5 linked regions of the Callithrix jacchus genome follow. The protein of the gene in region 5 binds, or shares a complex with, the protein of the main gene of each other region. Links are inferred from orthologs where the notes say so. Each region holds a gene or a part of one and is shown on either strand. Other genes may lie near its edges. The genes, in order: AIM2, CASP8, MEFV, RIPK3 and ZBP1.

Region 1 (5,586 bases), on a different chromosome or scaffold from region 5:
CATTTTGCTTCCTACAAAAGCTTCTCTTGTCTACTGATTATTGCCTCTGTCTTCATTAAAGATTCTCCAGGTATCGTCTATCTTCTGTGAGGTGAGGTTGTGAGTAGAACAGCATATAGCACTCTACATGCAGACATGCAATGGCTATGGAGAGGGATCACTTAACCAAAAATAAAAGATTAACTGTTCAAAAAACAAAACAAAAATTGTTTTCCTATAATAATAGAAGTAGCCTAGACACACAAAAATTTCCTACATTCAAAGGAGGCCTAAGAATGTCTGTGGTTGGAATTTTAGCTTTGATGGAACTTAATTGCCTTCTTGTAAAGCATACAAGAAGCATACTTTGTGTCTTGTGGTTGTTTGAGACAGGGTCTCACTGTTGTTGCCCAGGTGAGAGTGCAGAGGCGTGATCTCAGCTCACTGCAACCTCTGCCTCCCAGGTTCAAGTGATTCTCCTGCCTCAGCCTCCCGAGTAGCTGGGATTACAGGCGCCTGCCACCACTCCTGGCTAAGTTTTGTATTTTTATTAGAGATGAGGTTTCACCATGTTGGCCAGGTTGGTCTTCAACTCCTGACCTCAAGTGATCTGCCCACCTCGGCCTCCCAAACTGCTGGGATTACAGGTGTGAGCCACTTGCACCCATCCAAAAAGCACACGTTGAATCCTGCAACTGTTACATGTGGAGACTCTCATTTGGGAGAGTCCCTGGATTCTAGTCCCAAACTATCTTTTCTATCGAATCAGAATAACAAAATCCCAGGATCATTAGAACAGCAAAATGGGGAGAAGATTTTAGAAGGTGAAACTTTGTGCTATCCTTTGTGTCAAAGAGAAGAATTAATTCTTGATTTAATGACAAAATAAAAGATATTTCTAAAATTCTCCGCCTATGTTTGCCAATAAATATGCTTAGATTCCTGTCTCATCCCAGACAAGAAAAAGAGCAGTTGGTTACTTCAAAACAACGTGTAGTTACTGCCATCTAGGGGCCATGTCTAAGAACTACACCTTCTAACTTCACATAGCCTGGGAAAATACAATGTATAACAAGCAGTCCTTTCTCTTCAGTGCCTTAGATACTAGCAAACAGTTTATATCTGTATAGAATTATGAGCGTACATAGTATCACTTTCATGGCTTCATTTAGCCTTCCTATAAGTCATGTTTGAGAAGTGATGTCATCCGTGTTATACACTCACAAATGCTGTTAAAAGCTGTTGTAATTTTTGCTGTTATAGTTGTACTTTTTTTTTTTTGAGACTGAGTTTCGCTCTTGTTACCCAGGCTGGAGTGCAATGGTGCGATCTCGGCTCACCACAACCTCCACCTCCTGGGTTCAGGCAATTCTCCTGCCTCAGCCTCCCGAGTAGCTGGGACTACAGGCACCTACCACCATGCCCAGCTAATTTTTGTATTTTTAGTAGAGACGGGGTTTCACCATGTTGGCCAGGATGGTCTCCACCTCTTGACCTCGTGATCCACCCGCCTTGGCCTCCCAAAGTACTGGGATTATAGGCGTGAGCCACTGCTCCCGGCCTACAGCTGTACTTTGAATCCTAAAACTGTGGCATTTGGAGACTCTCATTTGGGAGAGTCCTTGGATGATATGCTCCTTTGTTACCTCTCTTTTATTCTTCAGACATAAAGCCGGGACATATCAATTTTCTTAGCAAACAAAATCAGAAATTTAAACGAGATTTAAACTAAATGTAGATGGAGATGATGAGTGATTTATTGAATAATGTAAAAAACCTTTGTGTTGTGGGTAATTTATAGTGCCACCTGTACTGGAGATAGGAGAGAGAATCCCCTAATAGAAGGAGGAGATTATTCCCTGAAGAAGGATACTCTGGGTCCTCAGAAAGCTGGGGACAGGAGAGGAATAGACAGACTGTGTGAAGGAGAAAAGGTGCTCAATATCCCGGTTTACGCTTTTCCACTGCAATAATTTATTTATATTTTCATGACTTCAGTAAAATGTGAGCGCATTATATACTGTGTAAATGGAGTTGGGGGATGTTAACTTTGAAATCCTACATCCAAGGCCAGGTGCGGTGGCTCACGCCTATAATCCCAGCACTTTGGGAGGCCGAGGCGGGTGGATCATGAGGTCAAGAGATTGAGACCATCCTGGTCAACAAGGTGAAACCCCGTCTCTACTAAAAACACAAAAATTAGCTGGGCATGGTGGTGTGTGCCTGTAGTCCCAGCTACTCGGGAGGCTGAGGCAGGAGAATTGCCTGAACCCAGAAGGCAGAGGTTGCGGTGAGCCGAGATCGTGCCATTGCACTCCAGTCTGGGTAACAAGAGCGAAACTCTGTCTCAAAAAAAAAAAAAAGAAAAAGAAATCCTACATCCAAGTTCACTGCAATTGAACTGGAGACAGATAGGCAAAGAGAAAAGACGATAAATGGAAGTGGTAACTCTAAGCGTTGGAACAAGAGATGCCAACAGAAGATGGAATGGATTTGTGGAATTTGTACCAAACACTTCCTAGAGGTGATTCTCAGTAAAAGGAGGCAAAGAGACAAGTGCACTAAGTTAGCAAACAAATTCCAACAAACGTGCACTGGGGGCCATATCCCAGGGACGCCGTAAAAGGAAAGGCCCAGGCTTGGCGAAGAAAGGGACTGGGCAGGGCAGGATCCCACTTTACCTTTCTCCTTCTCTTCCTGAAGACGTTTTGCCAAAAGCATGTAATTCAACTTCTGAAAAATATGAATGGTCTTCATTACTGCAGACACCACACCAGCATTTTGAATCATCAAGTTAGCTAGTTGTGGTCTATTTGCAGTATGTAGTTTGCCTGTGGCAATATTAAACTCATCTGGAAGAAAGAACTTAAACCTCTCCAGTTCTTCATCAGTGATGTTCTCCAGGCCCGTTAGCAGGAGTATCTCCTTATATTTACTCTCCATCTAAGAACTTCAGGATCCGCCTGTAAGGAGTCCAAATCATAGAAGATTACACCACCAAAAGTGATTCTATGTTCAGAATGAAGCAAGGTGAGCTGTTACTATATTTTAAAGAAAAATAAACAAATGTTTACAGTAGTAAGAGGTTTGAGTGGAACATAGGTAAGAACTTCTTAAGCAAGGTAGTCACTATTCCCCGGAAAGACATTTTCAGAAAGTATACAACACCTCTGGAATTCTTAGAAAACAGGAGATATCAGCTGGGCACAGTAGCTTATGCCTGTAATCCCAGAACTTTGAGAGGCTGAAGTGGGCGGATCACGTGAGGTCAGGAGTTTGAGACCAGCCTGGCCAATATGGCAAAATCCCATCTCTACTAAAAATATAAAAATTAGCCAGTCGTGGTGGTGGATGCCTGTAATCCCAACTACTCTGAAGGCTGAGGCAGGAGAATCACTTGAACCCAAGAGGCAGAGGTTGTTGTGAGCCAAGATTGCACCATTGCACTCCGGCCTGGGCAACAAGAGTGAAACTCCGTCTCAAAAAAACCAAAAACAACCACAAAAAAGAAAACAATACATTTTCCTGTTGTTTTAAAAACAGATTTATCGAGGCATAACTGACATACAACACAGTGCATATATTGGAAGTATACACTTTGATAAATTTCGGCATATACATTTACCTGATGAAGTAAAATTAACCAATTTTTTCTTTCATGGATTGTGCTTTCAGTGTCATATTTAAGAAATCTTTTCCATGTCAAGATTAGAAGATTTTACGTTCTCCTCTAAAAATTTTATGGCTTGATATTTTACATTTGGGTGTGTGCACTGTTTTGAGTTATTTTGTGTATGTAGTGAGGGATGATTCAAAGTTCATTTATTTTTCATATGAATATAAATTTTCCCAGAAGCGTATGTTAAAGAGACTGTTCTTTCTTTAAAGACTTTTTTTTTTGTATCTTTGTAAAAACCAGTTGTCCAAATATGAGTGGGTCTATTTCTGGATTCTTTCTTCTGTCCATTGATCTATTTTTATATCTTGTCCAGAATAACCTTGTAGTAATATGATTGTTTATGTATAGTAACCAAAATAATAAAATATTATAAACAACGATTCAACAATGTTTCTAACTAGAAGATTAATATGCAGAAATACATTCCTTTATTCTAGCACCACTCCAAGAGAGAAAAATATTACATAAAATAGTAATTTCCAATAGCAACAAAACTACAAAGCACATAGAACATCTAATACAATATATTTAAGAGTTTTAAAGGGAACCTTATAAAACTTTATCGAGAGATTTAAAAGACCCAGTCAAGTGGGTGTATGTGTGCTATTTTCAATGGGAAGAATTGATAGAATGAAGACAGCAATATTGTCAAATTAATCTGTAAACTCCCATGCAGAATCTCAAAGGGATTTTTATAGACATTATCGGGATGCTCACAAAACCTAAATGAAAAAAATAAAGACAAAAACATGCAAAATAAGTTAAATATTTCTTTAGGATATACTATCCCTACTACTAGATATTAATACTTACTACAAATGTATGATAATTAAATCAGTATGGTAGTGGCACAGAGAAAAGTCAACAAATTGAGTGTGGAAATAGAACTACATGTAAATTAAAACATGGTATATAATCAAAGTGTCATTAAAAATCACAAGGAAAGAATAGACAACTATAAAAAGCATTCAGGCAAATGACAATATATGGGGAATGATACACTGAGACTTTATCTTACATCATACACAAAATATATATCTGGCTGGATTAATTATCTATATAGACTAGTAATGGTATTGAATAAAACACAATTTCTCCATACATTGAAGCAGAAGAAGGTTTCTTTTATTTTTCTTTTTTTCTTATACTTTACGTGCGGGTTTGTTACATAGGTATAACACGTGCTGTGGTGGTTTGCTGTACCCCATCAACCCATCATCTTCATTAGGTATTTCTCCTAATGCTGTCACTCCCCTAGGCTCCCACCCCCTGACAGACCCCAGTGTGTGATGTTCCCCTCCCTGTGTCCCTGTGTTCTCATTGTTCAACTCCCACTGATGAGTGAGGACATGTGGTGTTTGGTTTTCTCTTCTTGTGTCAGTTTGCTGAGAATGATGGTTTCCAGCTCCATCCATGTCCCTGCAGTACATGAACTCATTCTTTTTTATGACTGCATAGTATTCCATGGTGTACATGTGCCGCATTTTCTTTATCCAGTCTATCATTGATGGGCGTTTGGGTTGGTTCCAAGTCTTTGCTATTGTGAATAGTGCTGCAGTAAATATACATGTGCATGTATCTTTATAGGAGAATGATTTATAATCCTTTGAGTATATACCCAGTAATGGAATTGCTGGGTCAAATGGTATTTCTGGTTCTGGATACTTGAGGAATCACCACACTGTGTTCCACATGGGTTGAATTAGTTTACATTCCCACCAAAAGTGTAAAAGCTTTCCTGTTTCTCCACATCCTCTCCAGCATCTGTTGTTTCCTGACTTTTTAATGATCACCATTCTAACTGGCATGAGCTGTTATCTCACTGTGGTTTTGATTTGTATTTCTCTAATGATCAAAGATGATGAGCTTTTTCTCATGTTTGTTAGCTGCATAAATGTCTTCTTTTGAGAAGTGTATGTTCATATCCT
Region 2 (6,271 bases), on a different chromosome or scaffold from region 5:
CAACCAAGCAAAGGTATCCCGACCTCAGCAAAACATACAAGCCCATCATTTTCAAACAGAATGAAACTTGCAACTTCACCTGTAAATGCTTAACCCCACAAGGACAGGTCTCTGATTTCATCCATCCAGTCTTCCCATTATATTGTTTTTTGAACTGTTTTGTATCTTTTTAATTTTCTTTCTTTTTTTTTTGAGACAGAGTTTTGCTCTTGTTGCCCAGGCTGGAAAGCAATGGCGTGATCTCGGCTCACAGCAATCTCCGCCTCCCAGGTTCAAGCAATTCTCCTGCCTCATCCTCCCAAGTAGCTGGGATTAAAAGCATGGGCCACCACGCCCAGCTAATTTTGTAATTTTAGGAGAGACGAGGTTTCTCCTTGTTGGTCAGGCTGGTCTCAAACTCCCGACCTCAGGTGATCCACCTGCCTCGGCCTCCCAAAGTGCTGGGATTACAGATGTGAGCCACCATGCCCAGCCTTTTTAAATTTCTTTAAAAAACAAATAATTGAATTAGTAGGACAATGGGTATGAGTATGCGTATGTGTGTGTGTGTGTGTGTTTATGTTGGCAAATGTGTATGTTGGTGGGTCTGTGTGTTGGTGGGAGGATAGCTGTAGCAGCAAAGTCAGTTGAGATTTAAATTTTGGCTTCTAAGACAAGTTGGGCTGGGATCAGGCTTTCGTACAAGTAGCTAAACTTGGAGCCTTTCAGAAACTCCTAAGACTCCATCGATCTAAGTTAGAGTGGCTTGAGGTCTGGAAACTGCATAACCCTCGGCAAGGCTCTCAGAGGGACTGCTGCCTCTTACACTAACTTCATGGTTTCCCCATCCACACTCAAACATGAGGATCACCTCCATGGCCCCAAGGCCACCCAATCTCACTCTCAGGAGCCTAGAAAACTCCAGAATCAAAGGCCTTCCTCCCAAAAGGCCCCTCTGACCTTACCAAAGAGGCGAATCCTTACCTTATTATCACAACGGTAGCACCTTCTTCACAGGCCTATCCACTGCCCATCTGAGCATCTAAGACAAGAGCAAACGTCTAATGAAGGACGGAAGGCACAGCCAGCTGCACTTCCTGTTTCGAAACTCCTGAGTCACAAACACTAGAGGGGAAACAACACTTACCACTTGTCTCTGAGTGAGCAGAGCCGCCCTCTAAAGCTCCTAAAGCTAAAGGGAAAAGGCCTGGTGGTCCATGAGATTGCAGGCAGGGTGGGGCAAGGCACATGGCCACCTGAGCAATGGCCACTGGCCAACATCTTTGTGTGACTTTGGATGAGTCATTTTACCTTTGGAGCCTCATTTCCATGTTCTGAAATGAGGACACTGGACTGGATTGTAACTAAGAACACTTTCTTTTCATATTTAGTATTTGAAGTTTTTTTGGGTTCATCATTAAGACTTTAAGTTTTTCATTCAATGTATCGTGACTGAGCACCCCGGAGAGGTCTTGAGATTGGGCACTGCAGAGCCCTCATCTTGGTTCTCAAGGTGGCTGCGAACTTTCAGAGCTAAAGCACCTGGTTTAGCCAAGGAGCATCTCCATGGCCCCAAGGTCACCAGATTCCACTCTCAGCAATCTAAAAAACTTTAAAATAAAAAACTCTAAAATGAAAAACCTCTAAAAAGAAAAAACTCTGAAATAAAAAAAAAAATTCTAAAATAAAAAATCTAGAAAGAAAAGAACTCTAAAATGAAATAACTCTTTGGTAAGCCCATCTTACCAAAGGTGGTCCTTGTGTATGAGTGTAGCTGAGGAAACCATGAAGTTAACTGCAAGATGGGTTTTTACCATCTTATCAAAGAGGCAAATCCTGGGGACCTCATCATGTTGGGCTCTAGTTGCCCATATGTATATAATATATGTATCAGTAAACAAAAGATTGCCTTCATACTGAGAGTTAGCTGAAATGTTTTCTGATATTAAAAGCAGGAAAAGAAAATCAAGCATCTCTCTTCTTTGAAGCTGCCTTTTGTCCTTCCCCAAATAGAATATAAGCATTCAGAGGGCAGGCACTCATAGCTGAGAAGACTGAATGAAGTATCTGAAAGGGACTCCTCACCAGAGAGGGCTAGGTCAAGGTGGCCTCATAACATCAATGCCTGATGGGCACAGTGGCATGCCTGTAATCCTAGCACTTTGGGAGGCCAAGGTGGGAGGATCATTTGAGCCTAGGCATTTGAGACCAGCCTGGGCAACATAGTGAGACACCATCTCTACGAAAAAAAATTTTTAATTAGCCAGGTGTAGTAGCACATGCCTGTGGTCCCAGCTAATCTGAAAGCTGAGATGGGAAAATTGCTTAATCCCAGGATGTCGAGGCTGAAGTGAGCCATGATTGTGCCACTGTACAATCATGATTGTGCCTGGGTGACAGAGCAAGACCCTGTCTCAAAAAAACAAAAAAGAAATAGAAATAGAATGTGCAAAATAAAATACCAATAATATTAATATGCAATAGTAATTGATAACTGGTGTAGTAAGTGACTTGTGCCTAGTGTCTCCTTCAAGCCTCACAGTCACCTCCCGAGGCATTATTAATCCCATATAATGATGAGATGACAGAGGCACAGAGGAATTACTTACCTGCCTCAGATCGCATAGTTAAAAAATAGTGTACACACACAAAAGAAAAATACATTTTGCAAAGATACAGATTAAATCACGAATTCATATCAAAACATTAGAGAACTGTCTTTGGGAAGCAAGAGAGAGGGCAGGGGTGGGAGTGGAGAGGTGAAAGGAAACCCTTAGAACCCGGGGAGGAAGGAAGCCGGCTGTGCGCCTTAGGGACCCAGGTCTGCAGGGCATCGTGATTCGACAGAATAAAGAACTTAACCCCCTGCCCCAGGGCCAAATGAAAAAGAAAAAAAAAAAGTGGATTGATAAAGTTTTCTGGAATCTCCAAAAGGGTCCACAGGAGGGAGACAGTGTGTCGGTATTCGAGGCGTCAGGGAAGCTGGGAGCTCAAGCTCTGAAGGCGGCAAAGAAACTGGAGACTCCTCCGAGTGAAAAAGCAGCAAGGTCAGAGGCAACGGCTCAGAGAGAAGCCCCACAGGGGAGCGGGGCCAGGCAGGACCCAGAGGTGTCCTCAGAAGGGCAGATGCAAGTTGCTTCCCCCTGCCCACCGACCCGTTTCTAGAGCTAGTGAAGAAACAAAAATATTGTGGTTTCCTGTGGAAGGGGTCACCTCGGCAACAGGCACTCACCCGCTCCACCCTTTCCGGGCACCATCGCAGTCTCCGAGTCCCCTAACCTGCCTAACTCCACACGCTCCGTGGGGAGCGGGGTGGGAAGGGCTCCCAGGAGGAACCTTTCTTTTACTTTCGATCACCACCCTCCACGGCCTCACTTCCTGTTGAGTGGACTAGCAAATTCAGCCCGGCTTGAAAAAAACGCAAGAGTAAGGAGGAAATCTGTAAAAACACTTCCCTCCAGCAAAAGGACAGAATCTGGTCTCCAGAGAAAAAGAAAATTCACAACAGAAGGAACTCCGGGGTAAATTGTACTCCTAAAGCAGGAGGACAGAGATGACTCACTCAAGCAAGAAATGTTTCCTTTTTAAAGGAACAGATGCCCAATTTCCAACCATTCAGAAGAGGTAGGTGGCAGACAATTCATTGACGTGCAAACTAGAAACCCGAGCGCTGGACATGCTTCACTGGAAAGCATTTATACTGACTCCATTAATAATAATAACACCTGTCCGTAGCAAGTAATATGCCATTCTTCCTTGCAAAGGGTCTGGGGAGAGGGCATTTCCCTCTCTTGATCCAAATCTCAGCACTGAAGCCACAGACCAGCCTTCTCCTCCCTCCCCGAGGACTGAGTAAAGCCAGCCCTGTAGCTGAAATGTAGGTAGATTGTTCACAAAGGAGGAAGTGTTTTCGCTCAGCCCTACTTGGCTCAGCCCTGAGTTCCCAGCCGTGGCCATGTTCTCCAGTTTAGTAGTAACCTGTGTCTTTGTAGTATCCAGCCTGGAGTGTTGGTGCTACTGAGTGAGGTCTGTTCCCCAAGCTCTGAGCCCCAGACCCTCCCCTGTTCTCTCTTTTGTTTGTTTGTTTGTTTGGTCTGTTGCCCAGGCTGGAGTGCAGTGCTGAGATCTTGGCTCACTGCAGTCTCCACCTCCTGGATTCAAGTGATTCTCCTGCCTCAGCCTCCCTAGTATCTGGGACTACAGGCACCCACCACCACGTCCAGCTAATTTTTGCATTTTTAGTAGAGACGGGGTTTCACCATGTTGGTCAGACTGATCTCCAACTCCTGACCTCAAACAATCCACCCACCTTGGCCTCCCAAAGTGCTGGGATTATAGGCATAAGCCACCATGCCCAGTCCCTCCCCAGTTCTCTCCCATCTGCTTCTGTTTCCTGAGTTTTTAATAAGGGTTTTCCGCCCTTTTGTTTTCACATGTTGTACATTTTATAACCAGAACACCAACAATAACACATTACTTATATGTTACACCATGACAAGAACTACCACTAATTCTCTCAGCAATTCAGAGTATTGTTCTCCCATGTTATAGATGAGGAAACTAATGCTCAAACAGTTACATAGAGTCAAACACAGTCCTGCTGGGCCAAAGACAGGGATTTTTCTATGACACACTAACTCCCTTTCTCCAACACTTAGGATTTGGAATCAATTATGTGGATGGAAGAGCAACAAATTTAAACTAAGAGTGACCGATGCACAAAGGTCAGAAGGTCCTTGGTTTCTCAGTCACCTAACAAAAATGAGATGGCCTAATAAAGGCACAGCTAATACTAATCAAACCATTTGTGTATGCCAGACATGGCCACCTAAATTGGTTCATTTCCACTTCTGAACAGTTCTCAGAAGTGGATGCTACTACTGGTCCCATTTTATGAATGGGGACACTGAGGCTTAGAGAGGTTGAAAGACTTGGCTATGCTCATTCAGTGAGTGAGTGATAGAATGAGCTCTGTTTGTCTCTAAGGCCCTGAGTGGTTAGTCACTGCCTAAACATGAATGCACAACCATGATCTCAATCTGACCAACCTCAGAATTAACTGCAAAATTTTTTAAAATACGAATCTTCAAGTTCCAGCTTTGGAACTCCTAACTGAGCAAAAATGTGGGAGATAAAACAGCTGGAGCACTTATAATAGTGCCTGTGCCTTCCACAGTTCTCAGTAAATAGGCTGTGGTCGCGGTGACTCGCACCAGTAGTTCCAGCACTTTGGAAGGCCAAGGCAGGAGGATCACTTGAGCCCCAGAAATAGAGACCAGCCTGGGCAACATAGGGAGACACCGTCTCTACAGAAAATGTTAAAAATTAGTCAGGTGTCGTGAGGTGCGTCTATGGTCTCCAGCTACTTAGGAGACTGAAGTGAAAGGAAAACTTGAGCGTGGGAGGTCAAGGGTGCAGGGAGCTATGCTCATGCCACTGCACTCCAGCCTGGGTGACAGAGCGAGACCCTGTATCAATAAATAAATAAATATTCACTACCCTGTTATTCAAGCTCACAACATCTCTCAGATGGCTACAGATTATTAGGCCTGTTACAGATGACGAAATTAAATGCAACATCAATCAGCTGACAAATGGCAGGGCCAGTGCATGAACTCAGGAGTGTCTCACTCAAGAGTTTCTGCTCTTAGACCCTGTAAACGTCTCACTGCATGTACCCAAACCCAGCCTTGCAAATACGGGTTAGCTGCTGGATGCATCTGAGAGGCAGTACTGAGAATGCGGGGAGCAGGGTAGCGGTGGGAGTCTCAGGGCTTCAACTTGTGCCATTTGTAAGGCACTGACCCTAGATTCTCCAGTCTTAGATCTTTTATATATATATATACATATATGAAGAGCTAATAAGTGAATTATGGCCAGGCACAGTGGCTCACCCCTGTGATCCCAGCACTTGGAGAGGCTGAGGCAGGCGGATCACTTAAGAGCAGTTCAAGAGCGGCCCGGCCAACATGGCGAAACCCCATCTCTACTAAAAATACAAAAAAATTAGCTGGGCATGGTGGCATGTGCCTGTAGTCTCAGCTACTCAAGGCTTGAGAATCGCTTGAGCCTAGGAGGTGGAGGTTGCAATGAGCCAAGATGGCACCATTGTGCCTGTGTGACAGAGGGAGACTCCATCTCAAAAAAAATAATAGCAGTAAGAGTTAATAAGTAAATTATAACCCTCAGGTTGGTTGAATTTCTATTGTGAAGCACAAGGCTCATTATTACTTCATTTGCTCTAACCAATTTCTTACCCTCATCTTGGCATAGGTGTCTGTGTGACTGTTTA
Region 3 (6,329 bases), on a different chromosome or scaffold from region 5:
GTTTCTGCTCTGGAGCTTCAGGGGAATTGAGGCATGAGACAATTAGGCCCTAAAGAACAGTCTGTCTGCATAAATGTTATGCCTGCAGAGTGTGTGTGTGTGTGTGTTGTGTATGTGTGTGTTAGGAGATAGATCTGGGATGTGTTTCATTCAGTACTGGCTCAAGGTTCCTTATTTGACTTGCTAATTTAAACTCATTCTACTTTGGAAACCTCTAATATTTTTTCTCTATGAGGAGAGTCTGCTTTTAAAAATCATTTGCCTAATCTTACGCACCCCAGTGAAACAAAGTCACAGGCAATAAATTTGTAAATTTTTCTCTTATAAAAGTAATGGAGCAAAATATGAAATTTCTCCTCTAAAATTTAGCTTGCCATATTTTATTTTGCCTTATTGTTTCACACTGAGCATATATTCGTGGACTGTGTTTCATAAGTCATAAAACTTTAAAATGCTCATTGAAAAAAATTAAAACGGCTGGGCACAGTGGCTCACGCCTGTAATCCCAGCACTTTAGGAGGCCAAGCAGGTGGATCACGATGTCAGGAGTTCAAGACCACCCTGGTGAAACCCCGACTCTACTAAAAATACAAAAAAATTAGCCGGGCGTGATGGCGGGCGCCTGTAATCCCAGCTTCTTGGGAGGCTGAGGCAAAGAATTGCTTGAGGCCAACTCCTACCCTCAATTCTACTCTCTAGAGGTAGCCATATTTCTTTCTTTTTCTTTTTTTTTTTTTTTTTTTAAGACGGGGTTTCATCATGTTGGTCAGGCTGGTCTTGAACTCCCGACCTCAGGTGATCCGCTCGCCTTGGCCTCCAAAGTGCTTGGATTACAGGCGTGAGCCACCATGCCCGGCCAGCCATATTTATTTCTTCCGTTTCTCTCCAGATAAATTTTAACAATTTTTTTTTTTGTTATTTACAAACATGGGATCATACTATCTGCACTGTACTGCAATTGTGCTTTTTCCATTGAATAATACATAGACCATCTTTGCACATTAGCACACAAATGCACTGCGCTGCTTTTAGTGGATGCAGTGTAGTCCATGGAATGGATTTACCAAAACTTATTCAGCCAATGCCCTGGTGACAGACATTTAAGGGATTTATAGTTTCTGACTAACTGGCAAGTGTGGCAGGTGGGGAAGTGTTCTAGGATTATCACCATGATAGGTGTACGAAAGTGCCCCTGAGACTACCATGGAGGTGAATACACCCTCCTTATGCTTACCTGAAGACAAGTGTCTTGATGGGTAGAACGTCAATAGAATGTAGGACCCAGAAAAACAGACCATCTAGCTGGTTTTCCAAGATTTTTGTGGGCTGCAATACACTTGGATCAAAGGAAATCCTTCTTGAAGGTTCAATACCTAAAACAGTTAAAAAGTCGTGGCTGGTCTGGCATTAGCTGGGGGAGGTGGGGAGGAAGGAAGAGGGCTATGCCTATGAAGCTCCTCAAATAAGAAACCAGATGCATGTGCTTTCTCTGAGCCAAACCATTACCTCTCTGGCTCATATTATGTTAGTAGATTTCTCAAAAGGAAAAGCCACAAGTTTCAGAAACTGTACTCTAGGGTTCTGAGGGGGGCAGAGAGTTTGAGAATCCTTGCTCTAGCCTGCCTCTGCTGATTGAGAAAACGGTAGTGCTGCTGTTGGGCTGAAATAGCTGTTCCTTTCACCGCTTTTGTCATGACTAGTAACTACCGTTTATCTGTTCTCGGCCTCCTTGGAACAGGGGTCTTGCCTGACACGTGCACACTCGCACGTGGCACAGTAAGTGGGACACAGTAGGCACTCGGAAAGTGTTTGCTGTAAACATGAATGAAAAAGGGCGACAGGCTAATAAAGGGTGGAAGGCTTTTGGGGGTCAGCACAGCCCCGGGACGTCCCATTCTCGTGGGCCGCCAGACGCCAGGAAACACGCCGACTCCACTTCACGGCGCCGCGCCCGGGATACCAGAGACTACATCGACTCATTCCCGACATAGGGCGCGCGGCAACTCCGGCGAAAAGCAGCGATAGGCTGTCGCGGCTGCCAATCAGACCAACGGCGCCGCGACTCGGAGACCTCTGGGAGACACGGGTCCCTGTCCATCCCCTCTCCAACTGGCTCGCGTGCTCGCGGGGTACTCTGGGAGATGTGTTTCTAGGAGCGGTCTGCGCAAGTGCATGCGTGAGGGCGGGGCTTCGGGGGTCGGTCTGGCGCGTCCGTCGCGCCTTCTATGAGCCCCTCGGCAGAAGCCGCCGTGGGGCGCCTCCCTCCCTTCTTCAGTCAGCCCGGGACCCCGGCGGGAATGAGGCGCAGGGAGTGTCTCGCTTGACCCCAGCGCGTCCTGGCGCCCTGCGGACACTTCCTCTTCATCCTCGGTCGCTCTTCCCGCATGTCTCCTTCCCGAAGCCCCTTCTCCTCGGGATGCCGGGGCAGAGACCCCCCCCCCGGAGTGGCGCCGCCCTCCGCTCTGGCGTGGGGTTCGCGGGGCGTCGGCGGGAGGGGTCCTGGAGGGAACGGCTGTGCGGGGGCGGGACCCCCTCCTCCCCACAGACGCGCCCCTGACAGTCGTGCCATGGCTCTGCGGACGTCCGAGGACGCTACTGGCGGTTCCTCCCGCCGTGCCCGGCACTGTTACCTCCCCGAATTGCCGGAACAACCCACTTGGTAGGAAACGGAAACTGAGAAAAATCGACTAACTTGCCCACGTCACACGGCCCCAGATATTTGAGTCTCGTATTTCCCACCATTTCGTGGAGCTTCCAGACTCGCCAACAGTTGCAAAACAAGGTGATGAGTGGGAATGGCATAAGCACGGGGCGGGGAGAGGAAGTGGGCAGCACCTTAGAGGGCAGGATTCAACAAACGGAACCTCAAAGGGGGCAGTGTCAGTGCAGCTTCGTAGTTGGTGAGAAACGAAGGGCTGGGCACGGTGGCTCAGGCCTGTAATCCCAGCATTTTGGGAGGCCGAGGCGGGCGGATCACGAGGTCATCAGTTTGAGACCAGCCTCACCAACAAACATGGTGAAACCCCGTCTCTACTAAAAATATAAAAATTATCCAGGTGTGGTGCTGTGCACCTGTAATCCCAGCTACTTGGGAGGCTGAGTCAGGAGAATCTCTTGAACCTGGGAGGTGGAGGTTGCAGTGAGCCGAGATCATGCCACTGCACTCTGCTTGGGCAGCTGAGTGAGACTGTCTCAAAAAAAAATAATAATAATAACAAAATAAAATATGAAACAAATTCCCTGCACTCGCTAACCCTATTATTCTGCTATTTTTTTCTCCAACTTCCTTATGACTTCCGGATACATTATGTATTTGTTTATATCAGTTCACACTTTCCTATAAGAATGTAGGCTCAGGCCAGGTACAGTGAACCACACCTGTAATCCCAGCACTTTGGGACGCTGAGACAGGTGGATCACCTGAGGTCAGGAGTTTGAGACCAGCCTGGCCAACATGGTGATACCCTATCTCTAATAAACTAGCCAGGCATGGGGGTGGGTGTCTGTAATCCCAGCTACTCAGGAGGCTGAGGCAGAAGAATCTCTTGAGCCTGAGAGGTGGAGTTGCAGTAAGCCGAGACAGTGCCACTGCACTCCAGCCTGGGCAACAGAGCGAGACTTGTATTAAAAAAAAAAAAAAAAAAAAAAAGGCTCTTCTGAGTGGGCCAAACGCAGTGGTTCACGCCTGTAATCCCAGCACTTTGGGAGGCCAAAGCAGGCAGATCATTCGAGGCCAGGAGTACCAAACCAACATGGTGAAACCCCGTTTCTACTAAAAATACAAAAATTAGGCAGGCTTTGTGGTTGTGGGCGCCTGTAATCCCAGCTACTCAGGAGGCTGAGGCAGGAGAATTGCCTGAACCCAGGAGGTGGAGGTTGCGGTGAGCCGAGATCGTGCCATTGCACTCCAGCCTGGGTAACAAGAGCGAAACTCCGTCTCAAAAAAAAAATCGTTAACCCTTTAGGTTTCTGAATTTTTTATTTCTCAAGGACTGTGCTGTACAAAACATAATCTCAGCACTGAAGTGACAGCCATCACTGTGATCAGGGGCCAGCTGACAGACAAGCCATGGATGACCAAGGGCCTTTCTTGCCAGCTTGCTCACCCCAGAGAGGGCTGTGGAGTGATTCTAAGCAAAGTGTCTTAGAATATAGTTTGGTGCCTGGAAATTCACTTAAAATTTGAATGATTAGCCTCTCAAAGGCTCAGATCTCTCCCTTAAAAGTAAATATACCGGTGGTGTGGAGGAGTTTGTGTCACAGTGGGATTCATTATTCTCCACTCCAAATCAACATGGGAAATCTTCCACAACCTTCCAACAGCTCTGTCCATTATGTCAACAACAGACCTATTACTCCATCTCAAAAATAAATAAATAAATAAATAAAAACACTTAAATGACATTACAAGGGCGATAATTGTATTTTCACTGTAATAAATTACTGGACCCCCCCACAAACAAAAGCTTTGTGAGCCTTTCTTGCCCTAGAAACTCCCAAGTGGCATCAAAACATTGTCTTCTAGAAGTCCTGCCTTAGAACTGCTTCTGTTGCAAAAACTGTCACCGCGATTGCAAAATGTCCTGATTTAAACCGGAAAGTCCCGTTTTCTGCCCAATTCTGTCATGGGGTTTTGGTCTCAGCTCCGAGAAGTTTTCTGACCAGTCAAGATGGGATCACACAGCACCCATAGCGTCACTACAGAGTCTCATCCTTTCTCCATCTGGGAGACTGCCCGGGAGGAGCTGGTCCCAGTGATACCCCAGTCAACACCCTTCTTCTGGCTCAGCCTAAAAATTCCAAAAGTCTGCTGTCTATGCCATCAATGTGCATTTCGGTTCACTCCCTTTTTTTTTCCTTGAGACTGGGTGTTTTGCTGTGTCACCCAGGCTGGAGTGCAGTGGTGCAATCACAGCTCATTGCAGCCTCAACCTAGGCTCAAGCAATCTTCCCGCCTCAGCCTCCTGAGCAGCAGGGACCACCAGTGTGTGCCACCACACCCAGCTAATTTTGTGTGTGTGTGTGTGTGTGTGTGTGTGTGGAGGTGGGGTCTCCTTATATTGCCCAGGCTAATCTCCAATTCCTGGGCTTAAGTAATCCTTCTGCCTCAGCCTCCCAAGGGCTGGGATTATAGGTGTGAGCCACCATACCTGGCCCCATTCACCTACTCTTTATTTAGGGAAGATGTTGGGTTTGGAGGTTATAGATCAAAAGGATCTAGTGAACTGCTTGTTTGTTATGACTTATGACAACAAAGCAGGCCGGGCGCGGTGGCTCACGCCTGTAATCCAAGCACTTTGGGAGGCCAAGGCGGGCGGATCACCTGAGGTGGGGAGTGTTCAAGACCAACCTGACCAACATGGAGAAACCCGTCTCTACTAAAAATACAAAATTAGCCAGGCGCTGTGGTGCATGCCTCTAATCCCAGCTACTTGGGAGGCTGAGGCAGGAGAATTGCTTGAATCTGAGAGGCAGAGGTTGTGGTGAGCTGAGATTGCGCCCTTGTACTCCAGTCTGGGCAAAAGCAAAACTCTGTCTTTTTTTACAAAAAGGAAAGAAAGAAAAGAAAACAAAGCAGAAGCACCAGATACTCTGTGAAATAGAAAACTGGTAGACCGACTGGACAGTAAGTTAAATCCAAGCAACCAGAGCTCATCAAAGCCTTGACTCCCAGGCTCGGCACACACAGAGGTGCTCACACGCAGAGCTGTTTGCTCAGCTGGGTACCAGAATGTGGTGACTGACCCGTGGAAGTGACCCGTCCTGGACCTCAATGGCCAGCTGGAAATGTGACATCCATGGGTACTCATGGGTAGTAAAGTCATAAATTATTGTCACGCAGGGGATGATGTTGTGAAGTGCTGGATGTTTGGATCCTGGCTCTGGGCGTCATTAAGTTACAGATTCTTGGTTGCACAGGGGAATGAATGACAAAGCCAGCCCTGTAGAACGCTGCAGAGATTCTAGGAGGTGGTGTTTATAAAGCAAGTGGTGGCTGCTGCAGAGGGTAAAATGCATTATTAACAAAACTTCTGGCTGGCATGATGGCTCGTGCCTGTAATCCCAGCACTTTGGGAGGCCAAAGTGAGTGGATGGCTTGAGCTCAGGAGTTCAAGACCAGCCTGTGCAGCATAGTGAGACCCTGTCTCTATAAAAAATACAAAATTAGCCGGACGTGGTGGCATGCACTTATAGTTCAAGCTACTCTGGAGGCAGAGGTGGGAGGGTCACCCGAGCCCAGGAGGCAGAAATTGCAGTGAGCTGAGATCCCAGCACTGCACTCCAGCCTGAGTGACTAAGCAAGACCTTGTCTCAACAAAGAAAAAAAA
Region 4 (6,171 bases), on a different chromosome or scaffold from region 5:
GGTAGGGATGACATTCATTTGCAACTCTTTCAAGGCTTACAGAGAGCAGAGACACTGGGAACTGAAAAGGTTCTTCGCAGTTCTTTGGTATTTCGTTTTATTTTAGAGATGGGGTTTCCCCATGTTGGCCAGGCTGGTCTCGAACTCCTGACCTCAGGTGATTCACCCACCTAGGCCTCCCAAAGTGCTGGGATTACAGGCATGAGCCACTGTGACCAGCCTATTTTATGTTTTTCACCCTCCTTCCCATCCAGTGGGGAGGAGGAGGTGGCGGCTGGGAAGTGGGAGGAGGGGAGGGGGGGTCTCCCCTCTCATCCGTAGCATAGTCAAGTAGTTATTGTTTTCAATTTGCACCCCAGAGCAGTTGTGTAAGGTAATAGATGGTGTCTCTTTAAGAGAAAAAGTAATGGTGGCAGGAGGGTTTAGCTGTCAGTAAGGCAAAGTTGAGGGTGGGTGGGGAGTATGAGGTTTCCACTTGTCAGTGGCTTGTGTCAAGGTGTGCCCTGTGCCCTCCCCTTCAGAGTTCCTCTCCAGAATTGGGTTAGCAGAAGCTGTAGAGAGTGGCAATGGACATTTGAGACCCTGATCTTTTTGCTGGGAGGTTCTCTGGACTGCTGAAACAACAATGGAACGTAGGGACAACACACAGAGCTGGTGTTGTGCAAAGTTAGAAAACTCAGGGACAAATCCAAGCTTTATTGTGAGACCTCAGAGTGCTCCTTTCTCAGGGGCTGTCAGTTTTCCCATTTATGAAATGAGAAGGTTGAGTTAGATCGTCTTCTCTCCTCCCCTCCACAAGTTACCCTGAATCTAGTTATAGGTCTGGAGGAAGAGTCTGGTGGAATAATTGAACAGGGAAAAAAAGGGGTAGAGAGTGGGTATCTGTTACTGGATTTGGTTCCAGGTTCCTGGAGGACCAGTTCATGCCATGTCTCTTAGCCCCCTGCAAACAGCACAGAGCATTCAGTTCTGTCCCAGAGTCTGGTGTTCCCTCTGCACTCCTCTCAGCTCCAAGTTTTCCCTGGCAAGGGGAAAGGATTTATAGGAGTTCTAGTGCATCCCCTAATCCTGCCAATGTCTCACCTGATTCCTTTGGGGTCTAGGACCTGGTGTTCCAGTTGAGGTGGGGCTGGGTGTCTGGTTTCTGAAAGTTGAGGTCTCTGGAGTCTGGGGAGGTTGAGCCATTGAATCTGAAGATGTCCCTGCTGTCCTGGCTTGTGGAACCTGCTCCTCTTGTGCCCTGCTCTTCTTGGTAAGACTTGGGTATTTTTCAGGAACACAGCTGGAAGAATCCTCTAGATTCAGTTTATTTAGCAGGTCAGAATCCATGAAATCATCATAACAGTGCTGCCTTCCTGTGTTTCTCCCAAAGCCATCCATTTCTGTCTTTCCTTGGCCTGACCTATTGCTGCTCCTGAGCTCAGACAGGAAATTCTTTACCTGCAGGGATGGAGGAGTTTGCTGGGTATAACTTGGATGAGCCAGAGCAAACCCAAGGGAGTAGTCTCTTGGTCCATAATCTGTTGGCTGGGAACTCGGGGGTGGGCTGGGGAGGGTGGGGACAAAGTTCAAGGCATAAAAAGCGGTGATCGGTGGTAAGCCATCATTGGATGGCTAGGTAGTCATGTTGTGCTATCCCTGACCAGCTCCTGGAGAGGGATGATGTTGGGAGCTCACTGTGGAGACAGCAGCATTCATATTGTTCTTCACCAGCTCGAAGCCTTCATCGGTTTTTGGTAGGCATTCTAGAGGGACAGTAGATTGGGTTGCAGGTGAGCAAATCTTTTCCTGAGAAGAGCCCCCTGCTGACAGACCCAAGCTTATCACAGATCCAGCTAACTGGGCAGCTCACCCTGGAAGGAGGGTCTGTCCTTGGGCTCATTGCTACAGCAGAGCTGCATTAAATCCTTCAGTCCTTCCAAGCCAGGAGTCTCAGGCCCAGCTTGGGACAGTTCATTTAGTGAGGGCTGGGCCTCCCTCTTGCACACTGCTCCATACACCAGTGATGCTTCGGTCGGCACTGGGGTAGGGAAGGTGGGTGAGAAGAGAAGGCATTTGGGGTAAAAGGGAATATCTGTCCATCATGGAAAGAGGCAGGGAGTGTAATGTGGGGGCACCATGAGGGAGGAGGGCAGTCTAAGTAGATGAGCAGGAAGGGGAAGACTTGGGGCTTTCAGAAGGGCACCTGGGGTTAAGGATCCCAGAATCTGCCTAGAGTCTTACACTCAGCTTCTCTTCCAGCAAGCACTGCCCACATTAGGATCCCGAAGCTGCAGGAGACACAAAGCTGAGGACAGGTCCAATCACTGGCAAGACTCCTTTCCTATACGTCATCCCCTAGGAGGGCCAAGAGAGGTGTAGGAATCCCCGCTGTGTGTTTGGGGTGGGATCCTTACCTGTAGACATCACTGGCTGGGGAGGCCTTCTGGTTTACATTAACAAACAGTTCTGGGGCCAAGTAGCCCAGGGTGCCCCCTGGCTCCCTAGACCCTGTCCCTGACGGTGAGCTTCCCTGAAATGTGGACAGGCCAAAATCTGCCAGCTGCAAATGAAGGGAAGAAGGGGGAAGCGGGGAAGACAAAGCAGGCAGCCTCCAGAATACTCCCTACCCCCAGATGGTGCAGATTCAGCTTTGTAAAAAGAGTGTGAAGGTCAAGGGAAGGGGTTCCCTTGGGTGGTAGATCTAGGTGCCCTGTGGTAGGGCTGGGTCCAAGTCTGAGTCTCCAGGGCCTGGTGGGACAGCTGGTGGAAATGACTCGTGTGGGTCAGGGCCTCTATCACCTGGTAGGGCAGGAGCTAAAACTCCCGGCTGGGCTTTGTCCCCTGACAACTCTGAGTCCAGAGGGAGAGGCTGTGCCTATTCAACAGACAGGGCTCTGCAGGTCTAGTGTCTGGTGGCCCTGGCTGGAGCAGCTCTGGGGTGGGGCCTTGTCCTGAGGCTGAGAGGGGTGTAGACCGGCTAACCTTGACGTGCAGCTCCGGGTCCAGCAGGATGTTGGATGGCTTGAGGTCCTGGTGCAGGAGCGCCGGGTTCTGCTCATGCAGGTAACACATCCCGAGCACCACTTCTTTCAGCAGGCGGCAGAGGAGTGGCCAGGGCCGAGGGCACTGGGGCTTCAGCAGCCCCGACAGGGAGCCGTTCTCCATGAATTCAGTCACCAGTGCCGGCCTGAAATCGTCGTCCCACCCCACCTCCTCGATGACCCCTTTTAGGCACAGCACGAATTCGTTATTCAGACTTGCCATGGCCTTGACCTCCCTGGATATCGCCTTCCTACACTCCAGTAGAGAGCTGGAGTCGCACCGGGGTCCTGGGAGAATCCCTCCCTTCCCCATTCAGGTCGCAGAGCACAGCGGCTCCACCTTTTTGCCCAGACCTTGGCCGGACACTCACGAGTTCACGATCTTGACAGCCACATCGCAGCCCCACTTCCTATGATGCGCCCGGAACACGTTGCCGAACCCGCCTGAGCCGACGAGCTTGTGGTTCTCCAATTACTTGTCTAACACCAAGGAGGCGGAAGCACCGTTCAACCTGAGAGAGGGGTGTCGCCCACTAGCCGGCAGTGCAGTGTCCGCGCTGCTCCCCCCGCCCCCGTGACTCGGCGCCCACTGCAATCCTCGGCCTCCCTCGCCCGCCCCCACCGTCCCTAGACGCAAAGGCGTTCTCTGAGCGAGTCGCGGGTAGCTCTGGGGGTGAGTGTCGGAGACTCAGATCCACACGCCACTCCCTACTCACCATAACTTGACGTGAGACATCAGGCTGGAAGGTACGAGGGGGCCGCTGGAAATAGCGAGCTGCAGGAGATGGAGTGACTTCCGGGGCTGCGGTCTTTGGTAGAGAGGGGAACGGGTCTGCATGCACAGGCGTCAGTCTCTAGACCAAGATGATGATTCCACTTTCCGGGTTGCTACCGCTATTCCGAGTTGACTGAACAACTTCCCTTTCAGGCGACTCTACAGTCCCGCCCCTGGGGTGGGACGGGGGCAGAACGAAAGCTAGTGCTTTCCTCTCTGACTAGTGTTTCTTGGGCGCCTGCTGCGTGCCGCGGCCAGGTTGGTTGTAGCTGGGCATTGAGGATGTTAGGGAAGGAGTCCTCACCTTCCGGGAACCCACAATCGACCCTCTCCTACAGCCAACGCCTTCCCTTTTCCCACGGGATTTCCTGCTCCACCACCTGCCAGGCCGTGAGTGGGGATGGTGCTTAAGAGGGTTTTATGGTTCTGGGGCTCAGCTCTCTCACAGCTGCCCTAAGATTATAGCCAACACGTATATAAAAGTTACTACACACCAGGTACATATATTAGCTTATTTAATTCTCACATGAACCCTAAGAGGATAGGTACTGCTTTTATTACTATTTTTATGGACGAGGAAACTGAGACACTGAGAGTTTAAGTATCATGCCTAAGCCCATGTGGAAATAATGGCTCTGAACCATCAAGTTTTCCTATTTTCACATAGACTTCAGGGCTGTACCACTCAGCTGGTCATGCAGGTGGTTGGGGAAGGTGTGAAGCATCCAACGATGTAATGAAGGACCCCTATCTGTATTCCTGCCCAGTCCCTATCGCTGCTCTGATAGGGACTTATATGCCCTATGAACAGGAGCCCCTGGAGCTGACAAGCCCTAAAACAACTCCCAGGGCATTGTGGTAAGGCTAGATATATCAGCCCAGCCAGAAGGTTGCTGACATTGCGGTGTACATTGCAGTGGAAACACCTCAGAGCTTTCCTGCCCTCTCTCTTGCATGACAGCTCTTGCATGCAAATACCCTAATTAATGTTCCTGACAAGCACGTGCTCGGACACAGGTCTTTGATAACCCGGGAGCATGCAGCGTCTTAAAGATTTAGGGCAGAAAAAAGGTGTCCATATTTTACCTTTCTAAGGTCTGACCATGACTGGGGGTTGTGGGAACAAGCTAGGGTCAGCCCTAGGCACTCAGTTCTTCACAGGGAGACTCAATCCTGTGGGTTGTGTGTTGGCTCTCACTAAAAGGTGCTCACCTTGGTACTTGCTTTCCATTTTGTCCAGTGGTCCATGGGCTGGTTGAAGCAGAAGTGACTAGCAGTTTTTTCTAGAACAGCTCCTGGAGAGCCATGTCATGGCTTCTGGTAGGGTCAGCTCATGCTATTTTGGAGCCATTTAGGGAATTGTTCAACCATAGTCTCTTTAAAAGCCAATAAATGACAGGTACCCAATAAATATTTATTGAATTGAATGAATAAATGAACAATCAAAAATACTGAGCCTTCCTTAAGACACTGATCATCCTAGATGAAACTCCATACTCATTAGGAGGAAAGAGGAGATTGGGTTCCTGTAGGGATTGAGGGCTCTCACCTGAACAGTTCATGAACTCCATCTGAAGTAGGCTTTAGTATAGAGATATGGCGGTATCACACAGAATCCAAGAAGGCAAGAAGTGTAGCAGATCCTCAGAAAAGCCTAGTCAGAAGCTGAGAGCCATCAGAAGGGGCAGCCACTCCCTTTGTGATTCTCTTTAGAGAGAATAACCTGGGCTCAATATCTCCACTTGAAGGGAGCAGGCATAAGGAGTTCGAAAGTTGTCATAACTGGGTTTTTTCAGATTGGGACGAGACCCTGAGAATCAGGGATAAACCACTGTGAAACACAGGGTTGGGTGTGGTATCAGGGCCTATACTACTTTTTGACTCAAAATAAACAGCCCCTTTAAAAGAAGGAAGAGCAGGGAGAAAAACCTTAGATTAAGTGCCTAACAGGACCCTCAGCCTCCAGCAAGGCGGTGTGGGGGTGGGCTCATTTCTGGATTTTGGAGCTCTGGTCTTTTCTGAGGACTGCTGTCTCTGACCACAGATGTCCCAGGCTTTTGAAGTCTACTTGGGTATTTTTTAAAAAAATTTAATCAGTATTTTGTTTTCACGACAGCGTCTCGCTCTGTTGCCCAGGCTGGAATGCAGTCATGTGATATTGGCTCACTGCAACCTCTGCCTCCCAGGTTCAAGTGATTCTTCTGCTCCAGCCTCCCAAGTAGCTGTGACCACAGGCATGCACCACCTTGCCCGGCTAATTTTTGTATTTTTAGTAGAGACAGTGTTTCACCATGTTGGCCAGGATGGTCTTCAACCCCTGACCTCGTGATCCACCCACCTCAGCCTCCCAAAGTGCTGGGATTACAGGTGTGA
Region 5 (5,586 bases):
GCCTCTCCTGCTCAAGGCCCTCGTGGTTCCCAATTGCCTTACTATCGACTGCAGTCTGGAGCTAGGCCCTGGCTTAGCTCCCCATGCTCAGGTCACCCTCAAACCCATGCGGGTCCCCACACCATCATGTCCTCACCTCCAGGCCATTGTCCACACTGTTCTGCCCACCAGGTACCCCTGTCCTGGCTGTCCTCACCTTGTGCTGGTCCTGTCTGACTTTCCAGCTGCCCCCACCCCAGGCCTTGAGTTGGGATCCCCAGGCTCTGCCACCAGCCTGTGCAGCCCCCAGGAGCAGAACTGTGGCTGGGCTGTGAACTGTACTGATTTGCCCCTCTCCCTTTTTCTGTGAGCAGCGGAGCCCCCTCCCCTAAGTCTCTGCTAGGCTGAGGCTGCCTTGACACGGGCAGCATTTCCCAGCCCCCCATGGCTAAGTGCAGGCCCTCTGAACAGCACAGATGCGTAGGTGGGCTTGGTCACAGACAGCAGCCGGCTCTCCACCTTCTCGGCCCTCTCCTTGCTGGTGCCAAATTCAACCCCACAGGTGAGGACGGAGCCCCAGGGACAATTCAGCACTGAGGTAAAAGAAACCCTGCTCTGCTCCCCTCACCCGGACATGAGGCCTGGGCTTCGAGCAGGCGGGGGCCACCATGTGAGGCATCTCCACTGTGGCAGGTCGGCCTGTGCCCTGATGCAAAGCCTCATTTGCGTGGCAACCCAGCACCTCTCTGGGGCCCCAAACAATCACGACAGCAATGATGAGACAGTAACACTCCTATCTCCAGAATTTGGGCCGGGCTGAGCTCCGCCTTCCTCACAGCCACTTAGGAGTCACTTCAGGCTATTCTTTCCACCCCCCTTTACAGCTACGGAGACAGAGGATCTTGGGTGAAGTGACTTGGGTGGGTCCCTCCACCAAAGGGGCAGAGCCTGGAAGCTCTGACTCCAGAGTTGCTGCTCTTCACCATGGGTGGGCACTGCCTCCTGACTCCAGGAAAGGAGAGATCAGAGAATGGTTGATGAGAATAAATGAATGAATGAATGGAATGTGGGGAGAGAGAGAGAGAGGACACACAGGGGTCCACTCTGCCCCCCAGCTCACCTACATCCTCCCCTGGCTCCCCATCTCCAGACCCTGCAACTCCTCCTGGGTCAGCTGCCCCTGGGATGATAGACATTTTGTTGCTGTTGCCGATGGTGGTGTCCTCGAGAAAGCATGATTTTATGTGGATTCTCTGGGCGGCGTCCTCCTTGGGGTGAGTTCCTGGATTGGGCATTCTTTCTTCAAACGAAGCTTCTGGGCCGGCAGCAGTGGCAGAGACTGTGGGTGAAAGGGAGAGATGTCGGGAGCCTGAAGCATCTGGACAGCGGCCCCAGAGCCCTGACCCCAGCCTGGCTCACTCTCCTCCCCAGACCTCTCACCAGCGGCCCACTCCACCCCACACACACAGCCTGCGTCTGGCTTCCCCACTGCCACACCTACGCACGCTGTCGGGATCCTGGACGTGTCTCTCCACCAGCTGGTGGGTCTTCCCTGCTGATACCACCCAGCTGATCTGGTTGTCGGTGTCTTCTGGGGTTCAGCTCCTCCCTTCTCTGCTGCCTGCTTCCCACTGCACTGGAACACTGGCCCCCACTTTTGGTTGAAATCTTACGGGGGCTCCCAGCCTGGCCCCAGCCCCTGCCATCTGGCTCTGCTCTTTCCCATCCAGAAAAGTCATCTACACTGCGTCTTGCCTCCTCCCGCTTCCCAGACCCCTTCTGCTCCCCCACTCCCAGAAACCACCCCCACAAGGTTACCATGACCCCTCTCGCTGAACCCTACAGCAGCTTCCCTGGCCTGGCTGCTCTCTGGAGACTCCTCTCCCGGGGCCTCTGCTTTCCTCCTCCCTCTCTGGCTTCTCTGCTGGTTCTTCTCCCCAGCCCATCTCTGCATTCCTAGTGTGGGGGAAGCCTCCGCCTGGGGCCCTCTGGTTACTGCAGCCACCGCACCTAGTAGGGCTCCTGTCTTCCATCCTCCCTAGATGCCATTCCATCCTCCCTAGATGCCATTCCAGTGATGGCAGGGCCATCACTTCTGCCCCTGCCCCAGCTGGCCCAGCCTCTGCTTCTTTGGGGAGGTCATGCCCATTTTACAGATAAGGAAACTGAGGTTTCCTTCCTGCAGTGGGTCATAGGGGATGGGGACCCAGAGTGCTAGCTTTATTTTATTTATTTTTATTTTTTGAGACAGAGTCTCACTCTGTCACCCAGGCTGGGGTGCAGTGGTGTAGACTCGGTTCACTGCAACCTTTGCCTCCTGGGTTCAAGCAATTCTCCTGCCTCAAACTTCTGAGTAGCTGGGACTACAGGTGTACATCACCACACCCAGTTAATTTTTTTTTTTTTTTTTTTTTTTTTTTAGTAGAGACAGGGTTTCACCATATTAGTCAGGCTTGTCTCGAGCTCCTGACCTCAGGTGATCCACCCGCCTTGGCCTCCCAAAGTGCTAGGATTACAGGCGTGAGTCACCATGCCTGGCCTAGAGTGGTAGCTTTAAAACCCCACCTGCTCTACTCTGGTTCAGCCACCTGGTGAAAAGGAATTTCCCATCATGCCTCTCTCCCCACAAGGAACTCCAGTTCCTTCCAGTGGGAACTAAGGGGTAGCAGGGGTGTGTCTGACCTCTAGGTCCCCAGTTACCTGGGGGGCTGCCAGAGGGGCTGTGGGCAGGGCCCTCGGATGGAACGCCGTGAAGCCTCATCTCATTGCTGTGTCCCAGCTGCACTCGTCTGAGCATGGACCGCTCCATGTGGATGTCCTGGACCCCCCAGGCATCAACCAGGGTCCCCTGAATTGAGGAATCACCTGGTGCCATTGGAGGGAGGTGGCAGGGACCCGTGGAACCTGGCAGAGGACAGCGGAACCGCCTCACTGGAGATTACTGCAGGCTTCTTACCTCCCCTCACCACCACACATGGTCCTGGCTTCTGAATTCTTCCTGGGCACCATCAAACTGGGGGCAAAGACTTTAGGCTCTGACTTAGAGAGCAGGAGGACCTGGCAGAACAGCTCATTTTCGGGCTCCCTGGGTTCTCAGGACTTGCGCTGGTGCCTGGCTGTTGCAAGGACTCACAAACCCAAACAGTGAGCTCCTTGCTGGTTCGCAGTCATTCTCCAGCCTTCCGGCCTCAAGGGGATAAAGTCTCCTTTGATGCTGACACCAAGGGCTCAGAGCCTCCCGCAGCATTTCAACTGCCAGGAATCACATTTATTTTTATGGTGATTTTCATGGTTTTAACCTAAAATAATACTATAAAATTGTTTTAAAATAAATTTTTTAAAAGGTGCACTACTCAGCAACATTAATTAAATAATCAGACATTGGTATGGCCAGAAGCGGGAAGGTGGGGCTCAGAGGATTAAGGCTGGGGAAACTATGATCTAGATTCTAGAACAAAGTTCCTCATTTCACAATTGGGGAAACTGAGGCTCACAGTGAGGAAAGGTTCTCCCAAAGTTACAGGGAGTGTCCTGACTTTGGGGCTGATGCTCTCACTCACAGGTGACAAGGCTGGGCTGATAGGTGGCTCTGTCCCCTCTTGCTACAGTGTCCGGCATGGGGTAAGTGTGCAGAGTGCAACATAGAATTTCATCCAAAGAAGGATGCCATGGGTGGTGAGATCCACCTCAGTTTCCAGCCTGTTCAAATGTGGGGGAAAGTATCGTTTCTCAGAACAAATACCATTCTACAATAACCTCCCTGTGGCATTCTTCGGAGGGAGAGAGTAATTGAGTTGTTTCTCATGGAGAAACATCGGACCCCACTGAAAGCATAAGGTCAAGTGCAACACAGAGGGACCCCATCTTAATTTTAAGGTTTTATCAAAAAATAAAAATAAGAAACTGAGGTCGAAGGTATCAAAGTACAGGGAAATCAGAACTTTGATCCAGGCGCCCTCATTCTCAGGGTGGCCATAATGTGGAAGCTCCCCTTTCCCCCTGGAGGGCTGAATACCCCACACTTGGCCTCCACCTGGTGGACCAGGTGGCTCCCCTTGAGGTTGAGGTTCCCTCCCGGGGCTCTCTCGGGTGACTCACTGTCCTCCCTGGAGACTGCCTGCCTTGTCATGGTGTTCCCGTGTCCAATCTGGATGGCTTCCGAGTGTGCAATGGAAATCTGGCCGTTCGGTCCATTCTGGCAGATCACATTGATTGGATTGTGCTGGTAAATAATCGAGGTAGACTCTGCTGTTCCTCCAGAATCTTCTGCAAAACAATATTCAACTCTAAACCTTCGCTCCTCTCTGTGGGTCAAGGGTTGCCAATACTAGTGGGCAGCACCAAGTTCTCTGGGGAGCTTGTGAAAACACCCTGGGGTTCCCGGTCAGTAGGACCGAGTAGGGGCCCAGAGCCGGGTGTTTACCGGACACCACAGGTACCTCAGAGGGAGCCTTCCTTAGAAATCGCCACTGCAAGTCACCCTACCTGTGTCCTTTGCTGCCCCCACAGCTGGCCCTCCATGATTGCTGGCTGGGAGGACTGCAGGGGCCCACACTGCTCTCCCAAGGGGCAGCCACAGCCCGGACCCCTGGGCACCTGCACTGCTGCTCTTCTCACTTGAGCAGTGGCCAAGAGAGAGCAGCCCATGGGACCAGATGGGGTGTGTTTGGTTCCCATGGGATTTTAAGTATTTGAATTTGTCAGTGATTAAAATCTGATGGCTGTCACATGTTATTCCTTCCTCACAGCAGCTCTAGGACACTGAGACCCCCTGGAGCACCTGCCATGAGCAGCAGAGTCCACCCCGACGGGGCCAAGGCAGGCACCTCCGTGGACTTCGTGGGGCCTATCACCACCCTCTGGGGTCTCAGCTTCTGTGCCTTTGTGAGTCTTTCCCCTATACACAAATATTTAACCCTTTCTTTTTGAGGCAGAGTTTCGCTTTTGTTGCCCAGGCTGGAGTGCAGTGGTGTGATCTCAGCTCACTGCAATCTCTGCCTCCCAGGTTCAAGCAGTTCTCCTACCTCAGCCTCCCAAGTAGCTGGGATTACAGGTGTGCACCACCATGCTCAGCTAATTTTTGTATTTTTAGTGGAGACGGGGGTCCACCATGTTGGCCAGGCTGGTCTCAAACTCCTGACCTCAGGTGAGCTGCCCGCCTTGGCCTCCCAAAGTGCTAGAATTACAGGCACCAGCCACCACACCTGGCTCATTTTTAGATATTCGTTATTATAGTATTCATTTCTTCTGATTTTAAATGAAACTGAAATTAAAGATTTTCAAGGACCCCGATAGTGCCATGGGCCCTTGGCCCTGCACTTACTGGGTCTCATGGAGAAGTCCGCCCAGCGGCTCCACTTGGTAGGGGTCTGATCCTAGTCTTGCCTTCTCTTCTGCGAACTTTAAAATCCAGACCTGGGCAAAGTGCTTAAAGAAAACTGTTCTCAAACTCAAACTGACCCCTGCACCCCAGAGCTGAGAACACTGGGAGTGGGCACCTCCATCCCATCCGATGGCCTTCTGCAACTGCAGCCCTTGGGCCACACCTCCAGGAAGCCATCCCTGGTTAATCCCGCCAGCACACCACTTCCTCCTAGAAGCCCTTGC

Evidence for each region.
Region 1: ZBP1 (region 5) and AIM2 share a complex: the UniProt entries of both Homo sapiens proteins name them as parts of the AIM2 PANoptosome complex. The link is inferred for Callithrix jacchus from reciprocal best matches to the Homo sapiens genes ZBP1 and AIM2.
Region 2: ZBP1 (region 5) and CASP8 share a complex: the UniProt entries of both Homo sapiens proteins name them as parts of the AIM2 PANoptosome complex. The link is inferred for Callithrix jacchus from reciprocal best matches to the Homo sapiens genes ZBP1 and CASP8.
Region 3: ZBP1 (region 5) and MEFV share a complex: the UniProt entries of both Homo sapiens proteins name them as parts of the AIM2 PANoptosome complex. The link is inferred for Callithrix jacchus from reciprocal best matches to the Homo sapiens genes ZBP1 and MEFV.
Region 4: ZBP1 (region 5) and RIPK3 share a complex: the UniProt entries of both Homo sapiens proteins name them as parts of the AIM2 PANoptosome complex. The link is inferred for Callithrix jacchus from reciprocal best matches to the Homo sapiens genes ZBP1 and RIPK3.

What each region holds. Positions count from the first base shown.
Region 1 is NC_133519.1:19,054,827-19,060,412, forward strand, and holds part of AIM2 (interferon-inducible protein AIM2), read right to left. Parts: intron 2,943-5,586; 5' UTR 2,923-2,942; coding exon 2,661-2,922; intron 1-2,660. UniProt on the Homo sapiens protein: Sensor component of the AIM2 inflammasome, which mediates inflammasome activation in response to the presence of double-stranded DNA (dsDNA) in the cytosol, leading to subsequent pyroptosis.
Region 2 is NC_133507.1:122,348,505-122,354,775, reverse strand, and holds the start of CASP8 (caspase-8), read right to left. Parts: upstream 3,540-6,271; 5' UTR 3,237-3,539; coding exon 3,212-3,236; exon of another isoform or gene 2,935-3,211; intron 1,022-2,934; exon of another isoform or gene 964-1,021; intron 1-963. UniProt on the Homo sapiens protein: Thiol protease that plays a key role in programmed cell death by acting as a molecular switch for apoptosis, necroptosis and pyroptosis, and is required to prevent tissue damage during embryonic development and adulthood.
Region 3 is NC_133513.1:5,409,786-5,416,114, reverse strand, and holds the start of MEFV (pyrin), read left to right. Parts: upstream 1-2,172; 5' UTR 2,173-2,782; exon of another isoform or gene 2,783-2,835; intron 2,836-5,727; exon of another isoform or gene 5,728-5,781; intron 5,782-6,329. UniProt on the Homo sapiens protein: Involved in the regulation of innate immunity and the inflammatory response in response to IFNG/IFN-gamma.
Region 4 is NC_133509.1:58,637,707-58,643,877, forward strand, and holds RIPK3 (receptor-interacting serine/threonine-protein kinase 3), read right to left. Parts: upstream 3,934-6,171; 5' UTR 3,740-3,933; intron 3,536-3,739; 5' UTR 3,337-3,535; coding exon 2,965-3,336; intron 2,543-2,964; coding exon 2,397-2,542; intron 2,271-2,396; coding exon 2,224-2,270; intron 2,021-2,223; coding exon 1,853-2,020; intron 1,746-1,852; coding exon 1,678-1,745; intron 1,441-1,677; coding exon 1,063-1,440; 3' UTR 677-1,062; downstream 1-676. UniProt on the Homo sapiens protein: Serine/threonine-protein kinase that activates necroptosis and apoptosis, two parallel forms of cell death. Necroptosis, a programmed cell death process in response to death-inducing TNF-alpha family members, is triggered by RIPK3 following activation by ZBP1.
Region 5 is NC_133506.1:53,198,401-53,203,986, forward strand, and holds part of ZBP1 (Z-DNA-binding protein 1), read right to left. Parts: intron 4,246-5,586; coding exon 4,078-4,245; intron 2,884-4,077; coding exon 2,680-2,883; intron 1,319-2,679; coding exon 1,100-1,318; intron 1-1,099.